Xenopus tropicalis: one gene and its partners. The protein of the gene in region 2 purifies or fractionates together with the protein of the main gene of each other region. This does not show direct contact. Links are inferred from orthologs where the notes say so. Each region holds a gene or a part of one and is shown on either strand. Other genes may lie near its edges. The genes, in order: cbx1, champ1 and cbx3.

Region 1 (4,239 bases), on a different chromosome or scaffold from region 2:
CAGTCTCTCACCCCAGTACCATACCTACCCCCCCCCCCAGTCTCTCACCCCAGTGCCATATCTACCCACCCCCCAGTCTCACACTCCAGTGCCATACCTACCCACCCCCCCCAGTCTCTCACCCCAGTGCCATACCTACCCACCCCCCCAGTCTCTCACCCCAGTGCCATACCTACCCACCCCCCCCAGTCTCACACTCCAGTGCCATACCTACCCACCCCCCAGTCTCACACTCCAGTGCCATACCTGCCCACCCCCCCAGTCTCTCACCCCAGTACCATACCTACCCCCCCCCCCAGTCTCTCACCCCAGTGCCATACCTGCCCACCCCCCAGTCTCACACTCCAGTGCCATACCTACCCACCCCCCAGTCTCACACTCCAGTGCCATACCTACCCACCCCCCCCAGTCTCTCACCCCAGTACCATACCTACCCCCCCCCCAGTCTCTCACCCCAGTGCCATACCTACCCACCCCCCAGTCTCACACTCCAGTGCCATACCTACCCACCCCCCAGTCTCACACTCCAGTGCCATACCTACCCACCCCCCCCAGTCTCTCACCCCAGTGCCATACCTACCCACCCCCCCAGTCTCTCACCCCCAGTGCCATACCTACCCACCCCCCCCAGTCTCACACTCCAGTGCCATACCTACCCACCCCCCAGTCTCACACTCCAGTGCCATACCTGCCCACCCCCCCAGTCTCTCACCCCAGTGCCATACCTGCCCACCCCCCCAGTCTCTCACCCCAGTGCCATACCTACCCACCCCCCCAGTCTCTCACCCCAGTGCCATACCTGCCCACCCCCCCAGTCTCTCACCCCAGTGCCATACCTGCCCACCCCCCCAGTCTCTCACCCCAGTGCCATACCTGCCCACCCCCCCAGTCTCTCACCCCAGTGCCATACCTGCCCACCCCCCCAGTCTCTCACCCCAGTGCCATACCTACCGACCCCTTCCCATTCCAGCTTTAACTGTGCAGCGACTATAAAAACAGTGAAGTGATTCCCGGGCTCCACACTGAGGGGCTAAATCTGTGCCGGACCAGGCAGCAGCCTTCACGCCTACTAGCCACTAACATGGCCCCACACAGCCAGCAGCCTTCACGCCTACTAGCCACTAACATGGCCCCACACAGCCAGCAGCCTTCACGCCTACTAGCCACTAACATGGCCCCACACAGCCAGCAGCCTTCACGCCTACTAGCCACTATCATGGCCCCACACAGCCAGCAACAGATAAGCTCATTAAACACTGCCCACTCGGCCCGTACATGGCTCCCAGGGAAAGAACTACACTTCCCGCCATGCTAGGCGGCTCTCCCCCCGCGCATGCGCACTCCCCCGATCCCTTGGCGGCAGCGCTGCTTCTTTTGTTTGGAGGCGCCACATCCTTAGAACCGAACCGGATCGGGACGCACAGGAATCAATTTGTTCTGTTCATTCAGGGGATCGGAACCCGCTCCAATAGCCGAGAAGAAAGCGAGCTCCAGCCGCGCAGCCGGACCGATCCCAGGCCCCAGGCACCGGGGAGCCCAAGCAAGCGGCGGGTAAGGGCGGCCTGATCCCCGCATGTGCGCCTTCTCTCCCTACTGCCGGACTGCCCCCTCCCATTCCTCTGGGAAACGGGCCGCTGAGCATGCTGGGATTTGTAGTGCGTAACATGCAGCCAGCAACGTTCTGTTATTCGCACACAAACAAGTTCTTGCAACTTAATTCACTAGTGATTTGCCTCCATCAACCTGTAGCATTCCAACTGCTCTGAAAACTACACTTCCCAGCATTCCCAGCACAGGGTATAACTTGTTACAGGGATTTCACAAGTCCATGTTTGCACTATGGATGTAGCTTTGTTTCCCAGGGTTTTGTGGGGGATGCTGGGAGTTGTAGTCAGTGGCCCACTCTTGGTACAATGTTCTTCCCAAACTTTATGCATAGTGCCCAGTCACATGGTGGCTCCTATCCCCAGGGGGTAAGGTTGGCATATTATCCCCCAGATGCACCCAAGGCCCTGTGTGCGCACATTGCACCTCAGGCCACAAAACCTGAATTCTGCACGTCTGGCCCATAGAAAAGCAGAGGGAATGTTGGCTGTGGGGCCCCACACTCGCAGGGCTGCAGTAGCCAACGTGATGTAACCTCCGGCCAGGGGAATGTGAGGGGCAAACACTCCCACACAGCTGGTATTATTTGGCTGCAGAGCTTTCATTCTTTGGGAGCCATAATTAGCTTTGTACATTGTGTGGGGAGTCGCTCACTCAGTAGCAAAGTGCAGAAATAGAAGAGGCTGCAGAATGGGGGCAAAGGAGCAAGTTCCTGAGGTGAAATGCATATAGCATGTGTGTAACAGAGCCAGGCGGGGGGGGGCAATGCCAGGCTGGGGGGGGAGTGTTAGCTCTAAGCCAGGCAGCCTGGCACGTGGCACAGCTTCACTCAAGGCTACTCCTATTCATTCTGTGCACTGTGTCTGCATGGCTACCAAATGTATTGCACGTTTAGGGTCTGGATTATTTTGAATGAATAGTCTGTGGAGCCCTGTAATACAGGGGTCCCCAACCACCGGTCCATGGGCTGTGCTGAACCGGGCCACCTCTGGTCCCAATTACCCGTGATCCCAACTCCCTGATGCGTTACACAGCCATGACAATAGCTATGCGGAGCCCAGGAAGATTTCTACTGATCACGACAAGGACCAAAGTACTTTATTAAGCTGTATGCAATAATAATAATAATAATAATAATAATAACGTGCATAGTATGCACTAGTTGCGCCACACCCCCCCATCCCCGGTCCTTGGAAAAATTGTCTTGCTTGAAACCGGTCCGTGGTGCAAAAAAGGTTGGGGACCACTGCTGTAATAGATCCTGAGGCCATAACAATCCCATGGAGGGAAACATCTGGCCCTGGGGACCCTCCGCCTGGACAGCAGGGCTGTAGGAGTCAAGCCGGAGCCTTCAGTAAAATCTTGTCTGTAGTCCCAGGCTACATTATACCGTCTCCTTTATGGGTCTCCCAGAGCTTGCAGTCTAATCTGCGCTGTCTCGGCGCTGCAATAGGGATCAGTTATGTGAATCCGAGACAGTCTGTGACATCTGCAGCTGTGTCGTATCTCTCACACATCGGCTCAGGCCATTAAAGGGGATGTTTGCATGAACTCTTAGTGTGTTGTAGATAGACCTATGAACAACTTTTCGCTTGACCTTTATTATTTATTTTGTATATTTCGGTTTTGTTATTTCCTGCCGGCAGCTGAAAATTATGACTGGGTGTTGGGGGTTCATCACTACCATCAGTCCCTGACAGTAGAGCTTACAATCTAAGGTACACGCACTAGGGTCGCTTTTATTAGAAGCCGAATAACCTGCCTGTATGGTTTTGGAGTGTGGGAGAGCCACGCAGATATAAGGAGAACATACATATTTCATGCGGATGTGTGCCCTGGCTGGATTCAAACATGTAACCCCACACAGTAATGCAAACTACATACACATATAGGGAATTATGTACCCCCTTATGTAAAGCATAAGGATATTATAAGTCACCAAGTTCTCCTCTTTCTTCCCATGCAGCTCCATTAAGCAGATAAACTGGCGACCTCCATGGGAAAGAAGCAGAACAAGAAAAAGATGGAAGAGGTTGTCGACGAGGAGGAGGAGGAGTACGTGGTGGAGAAGGTCCTGGACCGACGGGTGGTGAAAGGGAAAGTGGAGTATCTCCTGAAATGGAAAGGTTTCTCTGAGTAAGTGCTGCTCCATGGTTTCTTGTCCTTATGCGCTGCTAATGCACATTGAACCGGTAAGGGGAGCGTTCATAAACCTGCACGCCGCGTCTGTATTACTGTAAAATATTACAGGTATGGGGTCTCTTATCTGGAAACCTGATATCCAACCGATCAGGAAAAAAACAAAAGGGGAAGTAAACACAAATATTAGTGTTCATTATGACAACTTACATCAAAAGTTAAACTGAGACTCCTCCCCCCCCCCCCCCCAAGGAAATCTTGTATCCACCGATTGGCTAATTTTTTTTGTTTTTTATTTCGCCTTAAAAAGTGACTCAGCCTGCCATTGAGTGTGAGGGAAGCCCAAAACGCCTAAGGCTTTACTCATGGGTTAATAACTTTTTTTTACAGCTGAATATGAGGGATTTTAACCAGCGTCTGCTCATTGTACTTTTTTGCTCCCCGTTATTGATCCCAACTGATATCTATATACTGTGGCTGCTGGTTGGTTCTTCA
Region 2 (4,013 bases):
GCAAGCGCCTCTTTTCCAGAGAAAACAACCTCAACCTCGACAGTCTCACCTCATAGTTTAAATCTTCCATCCCCTTGCAAAAGTGAGCCACTTAAAGGAAAAGTAACACTAACATTTTTAAAGTAAAAAATCTATTCTACCCTGCCCTAATAATTGCCCTATCCTGCACACCATTTATACGATAGCAGGTATTTTAGGTATGCAATTGCAGCATTTGCTTGAGGAGTGTTGGGCCTATACATGTGTTGCTGTTGGGCCCTCAGTTAACAATTTTACTAAACTTTCTTTATGGAAATCTTGTTCCCATCATTCGCCTGAGGAAGATGTGTTACCCCCAAGGCCTCAGTATAAAGATCTGTGTCATATTAATGCACAACCACTGGGGGCTCTTCACCTCTATGTGCCAAAAGGAGTCTTTTTACCTAAGATTTCATCATTTCATCTGACTCTAGTTTGCATAAAAACTCTTTCCTTCTTGGTCAAATTGGTAAAAAGGCTCTGATGACGGCAGGCACTTCTGGCAGGAAACAAATGTCTTGGAAGCTCCTGACACCACCACAAAAAAGACTAAAAAGATTACTGTAGGTACCCATTAGACTCTCCTAAAGGCCATACATTGTCCCAAATTGTGAAAAATACTGTCCTTGTCTTTAAATACTGGAGCAGAACTCAAAATATCAATGTCTAGGTAACTTGGCGACAGCCAGTGTGGGCCAAGTCATTCCTGAAACAGTGGAAACTGGGCCAGCATGGTACTGAAGGTGGTTTACTTGGTCAGTTTCTTATTCGTGCCTTGAAGTTGTTTTGTTCCTGAATTGTGAAAATTCTGCCCATTGTGTGTGTGGAACCATCAAAGTATAATTAAACTAAAAAAAGTGACTTCATTTCAACCACCCCCAGTTTGCACAAAAATAAAGTTTTCTTTTTCTGTCAAATTAACAGAAGAGGCTCCGACAGCACCATGTACAGATGGCAACCAGAAATAAATAAAATATATATATATATTTCTTTTGTTCCCTAGCAAAAAGCGTAACTCTAAGCAAAAATATAAATGGCTATATTGGGAGTGCATGGCGAACAACCAACATGAAACAAAAGTTTGTTTTTCTATTATTTGTTTTCTAACAAAAGAAGGCGGTACGACCACGGTGTCAAAGTTACGCAGTCTCCGCTAGTCACTTGCGCAATGCGGCTACGTGATGCGTCACTGCGCTTACGTGAAGTCGTGATGCCAGTCTCGCGTGATGAGACGGGATTTGGCGTCGGGATTTTCCGCAAGAGAGGCGGCCAGGAGCTTGCAGTTACCAGCTTTGTGGTAGGTGTAAGTAGCGATCTTGGACTGTTGTTATAGGAAAATAGGTGTGTGTGTTGGGCAGTCTGCACTTATTTGGGCTAGTTTGACCCCTTTCGCTTAGAGAGCTGCAGACTCCGTAAGGGGCAGGAGCTTAGAGTGCAATATGCATGCATGTTCTTTCCCTTACACAGCTTTCAGTAATGCTCTTTTTGTCACGGAGGTTTTAGCCCCGTAGAGCTGCACAGGACTGGGTGGGTGGGAATGCGATTCTATCGGGCTAAAACCTAGCTGCTTGGGTTAGAGAGATGTTTTCTATTAGTAATTACATCCTTAGACACTGGTTTGTAATTAAGCACAGAAAATAGGGACATAAAATCTAAAATACTAGTAAAATGGGGTAAAAGAAAGGACAGGAAAGTAGTGATTACCTTTTTAGCAATGTTTTTTCGTCTCCATAAGGGCCTGGTACAGATTTGCAATGTATCTGCAATGCATCTCAATGTAATAGAGATGTCCCCTTCTGTGGTGATCCTACCTGCCATTCTCATGTGCCTCAGTGCCGAGAGATGCAAACCATTGTCATTCTCATGTGACACAGTAGTTTTATTTTCTCAAAACATAAGGACTGTACACAGTGTGTATACAAGTACATTATCCCATTTATTCATTGTTTGAAAACATGTGACAGACTCCAAATAAAGCTCGATTACAAAAATGTATATTATATGTAATAAAGAGTGGCGTGGCGATCTGACCATCGGTTGCACGAAACATCGTCAGATCCGCCACACACCATTCAGGGCTGAATCGGCAGGTAAGGAGGTAGAAACAATAGGATTTCTACCTCCTTCTGCCGATTCAGCGCTGAAGGGAGATTTTGGTCAGGCGCCTTCTATGGCGCCTGATCAAAATTTTCAAACTGGTCCAATCGGCAAGTCGTCCGATATCAGCAGCTTCCTGCGATATCGGTCGACTCGCCAACATACCATACACGCACCGAATATCGTACGAAACGAGGTTTCGTATGATATTATCTGTGCGTGTATGGCTACCTTTACAGGTGCATTACAGTATAATTCATGCAATAGTAAAGTACTTTGTTTTTTATAATAACCTGATGATTTGTTTTCATTAGAAAAGTGGAGGTAAGATTAAATCAGGAAAAAATGCTCAAAAAAGCCACAATTCCTGTATGGCATGCAGTTATCTGTGCACGTGCAAAGTGCAGTGTCCTGGCATGCGGGATAATCTGTGAATTTACTTGCTCTGTATCCTGTATCCCCCAGGTATGGTACTTGGACTACATGCATTGTGGGCTGGTCACTTAGGAGGAACCCTGGAAGCATAGTTTTGGTTGCATGTTGGGGCAGGGGTGCGGTATTTTATTTGGCAGCCCTATTGTTACTTTTATATATATATATATATGAAGACAAGGCATATAAAATTGCACACAGTAAGGCATCATATTTATTTGCACAGTGTTTTATGGATCAAATACATTAAAATGGAACCCTACATAGAAATAGGGTATTTTCCCCCGTTAATGATGATTGTGATTTTTTTCTGACAATGTTTTCTTGTAATACTATACACAGTAGGCTTATAAAAGACAACAGCCTGTAAAATAATCTGAAAAAAACTTCTAACAGTGCCTAAGGATATGAGTTTGAATCAGTTTTGGTGATGTGGGATGTGTATTACATACGCCATACCTTTTGTCCACAGGCTCTTGTCTCTATATGGTTGTGGAACTCCTTGGCAAATTCTAATATCCTTACTTTTTTAACAGAGGGTACACCATTCCCTCTGTTAATTAATGCAAGTAGCATTAATTAACAAGTCATTCTCTTGTAACCCCCCCCCACTTCATTGGTGCACGCCATATATTGATATATATAAATTTGTGTGGACCTTGAGACCTGGGAGGACCCGTAGCTAAGCATTCGGCTCACATCGGTGACGTCACCGAAAGAAGGGAATCCGTGCTGTGCCGTGTGAAGGAGCTCGATCCTCCCAGTGTTTAGACCCACAGTAAGTTCCCGGCCGGGACAGAGGGTATTCTAGCTAACACCTGTAGGGTGTGGGGGATCTATTCAGCACCAGGTTAAGGTCTAGGAGGTGCCTGTACTTATATTGTAGCCTTTGGTGATACCTCACATTGCAAGCGCCACATGTTAGGGTGCATACACGAGTGTTTGCCCTTATAATCTTATTGGACAGTTTCCTTCCTAATTGGGTGTCCGTTTGGGAGTGAGCTCCCCAACTGGGGCCTTTTTTTCCCCATATTATTGCTGTATCCTTCGATTAGGCAGTTATGAAGTCGCAACTTTTCACTTAATTATAGACTGGGCATTTATGTAGTAATCCATCCCCTCCTGTGCTTAGTGTAGCAGTCTGTTACAGATTTATCCAGTATATCTGATTCATTTGGTAGTTCTTTTGCCTACCTTTTAACCAACTGATCTTATGTATATGTATTTTTAGTAATGCCAACGTTTAGTTTTTTTTAACCTATCCTCATATGAATTAATATATTGTTCCTATTTCATCCTCCATTGAACTGATAGGTTTAGTCACATTTCTCCATTTTAGCTTTTCAATTGAATTTCTGATTTTCACTTTATGTATTGTAATTATTTATATTTTTTAATACAAGGTTTATGTATTTATGTGAGATTATTTTTATTGTAATGAATTATTGTATGATTAAACACTAATA
Region 3 (4,185 bases), on a different chromosome or scaffold from region 2:
GGGCAATTAGTTGGTACAATTGAGATTTCTTGCACAAAACAAAAGCAGATATTTTCATTTGGGTTCCCTTTCATTCAAAGTTCCCGTCCCTACAATCAAGGTCAAAACAAATCAGTTGCCCACTAAGATTCCTTGCCCAGCTGCAGCCTGTAAGACAGAGATAAGGAACAGCAGTAGAACGCAGATCTGTTTTGACCTTAATTATACAGCCAGGAAGTAGAATGCAACTTTGTTTTAGATTGTGCCAGTTTACTACAAGAAATCACAAGAATGTTTTTCTTAAATAAGATAGAAGTGCATTTGGCACAAGCCCTATTCACTGGGGTGCACTACCCCTTTAAGAGACATTTAGATATCAGAAACATATGTTACAAGACATGCATTATTAATACAGTAGTTATCAATATAAACCAATAATTGTATATGCAATTAGTACTCTCCATTTCAAACTTTCCTGTTAACATTAGTGTAAAATGGCACTTCAGACTGTTGGTCACATGAGAGAATTTCCAGCCTCCTGCTCCCTGATTACATACAGTACAAGTTCTTAGCACAGTACACACCGTGCCAGCACTGCCCACTGATAGCTGCTATGCTTGATCCTACCTAACCTAATAGAAACACTCCTCTTCTGTAAAGGAACAGCCCCTAATACTGTGAGCACCATTCCAAAGACAATATGCACCACTTTTTCACAGCCTTATCAAAATTATCCCAACACAAACTGTATTATGCTTACAATTAGGTGCTAGCTCCCTGCTATGTAGTAAGTTATAATGTTAAAGCACAAGGGTGCCAATAAGTTAGAAAATTATTTCTTTGGCCAACTATTCTCACAAAAAGTGCCAGACTTTACCCAAGGATTCCTAGCACAAACTTGCACATGTCCAGTTTAATAAAAATTTTCCAATGGTAGTATACCGTGCTTGTGCTAGTCTGTTTACACTAGGAATTCCAGGGAAAAGTGCAGTATTGTGGTATCACTGCTACTTAAAGAGCTCTAGGCTGGCACATTTTTATTCCAGAGATAAAAATAAAAACCTAACCTCTGTCAATTAGGTTTTCTTGAGATTTAATTTCACTGGAAACTATGGGGTATTATCCCAAACCTTAAGAGACTGGTTTTTCATTTGATTATTAGAACAGGTTCAGCACTCAAAAGGCAATTCATTGCTCCAGAAAAAGGACTAATCTAAACACCTCTAAGTGACTACCTGAAGATTCTGGCCTGTTTAGTGCAAAGAAGAATAAAACAATATAAATAATTAACACAGGGAAAAATGAAGTTCAATGAGACATTGGATAAGTGGAAAAACCCCTAATTTTGTAGGCACTTATGAATACTATATGGTGCTGGTGTCACTTCGGGCTAAAAATTAATCCTATCTGTAAAAAGGTCTCCTTTACTGGAGCTCCATGTAGATCCTATCAGTCTTCTGTGCTTCAAATGAAGGGCGGGAGTATCCTAACAGTTGAATTCACAAGCAAAGACATACTTCAGTTCCCTATTGGGTCCGCCTAGCGTAGGTTCCTATCCTACAGTGCAGTGTGCCAAGAGCCAGTGGTTCCCCTGCACATCCAGAGATTTCAGCCTGCAGGAAGTGGAACAGATGGGCGGGACTAGAGGGGTCTGTGTATAATGTTTCAATAAATCAGTCTGAAACAACTATTTTAAAGCACAATCCTTCTATATTTAAAGTATAATTCACTAGTACATTCTTAATTTGTTATGATAAGTCTCCTTTCAGCACACGCCCTTATCACTAAGCCAATCCTATAAACACGGGATACACTGTCCCTTGAAATGAGAAAGCGGTCTGCCGTGAGGCGAAATTCTGCCATACCAGAAACAAAGGCAGGAATTTTCTGCTGTGACTGCCGTGCGAGACTCCATAACCCCCCCGCCCCCCCATACAACATTAGCGTGAAAGCAGCTCTGCGCAACGTGCATCCAGATAAAGTTTTACGCCGCTTCACCTCCCAAGCCGGAAAGCAAAAGCATCCCCCACCCCCTCCAACACGCATGCGTACATGTGAATGAGCCGCAACATGATTGATTAACCGAATGTATTCCGGAGGGAGATGAGGAACACACATTCACGGAAACTAGAGATTAGACTGTCGCAGGGGAAACTGCATGGCACAGTTGGAAACCATTATAACCAGCGGCACCGAGCTTTCCCTATGATTGTCCAGCCCGGGTAGCCATTGCCCTGTATACCCTTTACTTTCCCTACTAACCACCTAGAGGCCACGAACCTTCGCGCCTGCGCACCCCCCGTACCGAACAGCATTAGCTTCATTGTAAAGAAACCCAGTGATACAGAGAAACTCAGGGGGTATCCATCCTAGCACTATGTGAGAGTTACTGTGCGCTGCACCGGGCATGGGAATACTGGCGGAATACCACTAACACTGCTAGCGTCATATAAGTGCTAGGGGGCCGCTCTTCATTCGGCAAGATATATACGTGAAATAGAAAGTTGTGACTTTTTCTGCCGTTGAACTACAGCTCCCAACAAGCCCAGGTAGCGGTGAGCAGCAATTGAAGACAAGGCAGTATGTTTGCAGAACGGCCTCCCCGCCCTTACACAATGCCTCCCACCCATTGGTCTGTGCTGCTACTCTGCAGCAGGCCTCCGCTTCTCTCCCAAACTAGCAGCAATTTTCCCGCCTCCCCAACCCTGCCGGGCCGTGCTTCTCCCATGCTGCTCCTCTCCCTCCTCATGCCCCCGGGTACAACATTCCTCTCTCTCATCCCCGTACCTCACTCTCTTTGGATAACCAGCACCCGGTGACTCCTGCTCCGTCCCCCTCACACCGAGAAACGCTCTCCAAGCCGCGGCTGCCTGCAGCTCCGATGTGCGCAGGAGTGGGAGGGCCCGAGTGACGCGCAGAACAATGGGCCCTACCAACACACTGGCGGGGAATTTACTGGCGCGAACAGTAACTCTTTCAATACCATGGGTCTAAGGGAAGCGGCACCCTGACAAAATAGGACAGCCTGCCTTGAGGGCAGTTAATGTCAATTCCGGTACAATCTACACGGGTGTAGTTGAAGAGCCCATGAAGTCAGGGTCTTAATGATAAAAGAAAACCCGAATTATATATTTAATAGTAGTGAGTCACGTGTTGAAAGGTAGGTCCCAGGCTCCGCCCGCCTCTGTCGCTCCTCGTGTAGGTGTCTGACTGATACATGTCGTTTTGTTTGCAAATAATAAAAAAAAAAAAAAAATGCTTGAAATATGTGGCATTGACACATATTTCACTTCACTAGGCCGCCATTTTCGTGTATTTTACGAAGGCACTCCCCTGTCTGTCCAGTGTATGCGTTTCATCATCTGGACGTTCTAGGTATACACTGGCAGCTGAGCAGTCACATCACCTACACAGAAAATATTTATGCTTACAAGTGCAGGGCAGTCTGCCAAGTGCAATTTCAGGCAAACTTTGCTGTAAATTAGATGCAATTGCGCTAAAAAAAATTCTGTCCATTTAATATGAGAGTGTCAGGAACCTATTCTCTAGATGCAAGTGCACTGCACCTATCCAGGGGTGTTTCTTGCCCCTGAGCCACCTGAGGAGGTTCCTACCATGCCTTTACAGCACGGGAGGGGGTCCAGGCATGCCACATCGCTAGTGTAGAGAGTGCCATGGCAATCTCTGCTATAGTGCAGCAAAATTTCCCTTTTAAAAACCAGAAATTTGGCTCCTAAAGTTGTCAGGAGCGGCTATTTGCCTCCCCTGGTAACTTCGGGGGTGCTGCTGCCTGAGGCGAGTTTTTAAACTCGCTTCACAGTAACTGTGCCCCTGCACCTATCGCCTCAGACGGCAGAGCCTGGCAAGTTACCAGGGGCAGCAAAAGTCACTCCTGGTAACTTAAAGGAGAAGGAAAGGCAAAGTCACTTGGGGGTGCCAAAATGTTGGGCACCCCCAAGTTACTTAAATCGCCTACCTTTTATCCCTGACTGGTGCCACTGTTCGGAGAGAACAGCACCAGCCCGAGGTAGATGCAGCGCTTCCTCCTTACATCTTCGCATGCGCAGTAGAGTGAAAAGCCGAACTTTAACAGAGAAGTCGCTTTTTCACTCTACTGAGCATGCGCCTGTCATGTAGTACTTGCAAAACGAAACCGGAAGGAGGAAACGCTCACTACAGGTACCCTTGGCCGTTGCTCTTTTCTAC

The links.
Region 1: the proteins of champ1 (region 2) and cbx1 purify together in Homo sapiens (affinity purification with mass spectrometry; 6 studies listed by BioGRID and IntAct, with this or other methods). This does not show direct contact. The link is inferred for Xenopus tropicalis from reciprocal best matches to the Homo sapiens genes CHAMP1 and CBX1.
Region 3: the proteins of champ1 (region 2) and cbx3 purify together in Homo sapiens (affinity purification with mass spectrometry; 6 studies listed by BioGRID and IntAct, with this or other methods). This does not show direct contact. The link is inferred for Xenopus tropicalis from reciprocal best matches to the Homo sapiens genes CHAMP1 and CBX3.

What each region holds. Positions count from the first base shown.
Region 1 is NC_030686.2:11,721,919-11,726,157, reverse strand, and holds the start of cbx1 (chromobox protein homolog 1), read left to right. Parts: upstream 1-1,429; 5' UTR 1,430-1,551; intron 1,552-3,571; 5' UTR 3,572-3,601; coding exon 3,602-3,741; intron 3,742-4,239. UniProt on the Homo sapiens protein: Component of heterochromatin. Recognizes and binds histone H3 tails methylated at 'Lys-9', leading to epigenetic repression. Interaction with lamin B receptor (LBR) can contribute to the association of the heterochromatin with the inner nuclear membrane.
Region 2 is NC_030678.2:111,848,036-111,852,048, forward strand, and holds the start of champ1 (chromosome alignment-maintaining phosphoprotein 1), read left to right. Parts: upstream 1-1,192; 5' UTR 1,193-1,321; intron 1,322-4,013. UniProt on the Homo sapiens protein: Required for proper alignment of chromosomes at metaphase and their accurate segregation during mitosis. Involved in the maintenance of spindle microtubules attachment to the kinetochore during sister chromatid biorientation.
Region 3 is NC_030682.2:41,663,390-41,667,574, reverse strand, and holds the start of cbx3 (chromobox protein homolog 3), read right to left. Parts: upstream 2,813-4,185; 5' UTR 2,767-2,812; intron 1,919-2,766; exon of another isoform or gene 1,895-1,918; coding exon of another isoform or gene 1,845-1,894; intron 1-1,844.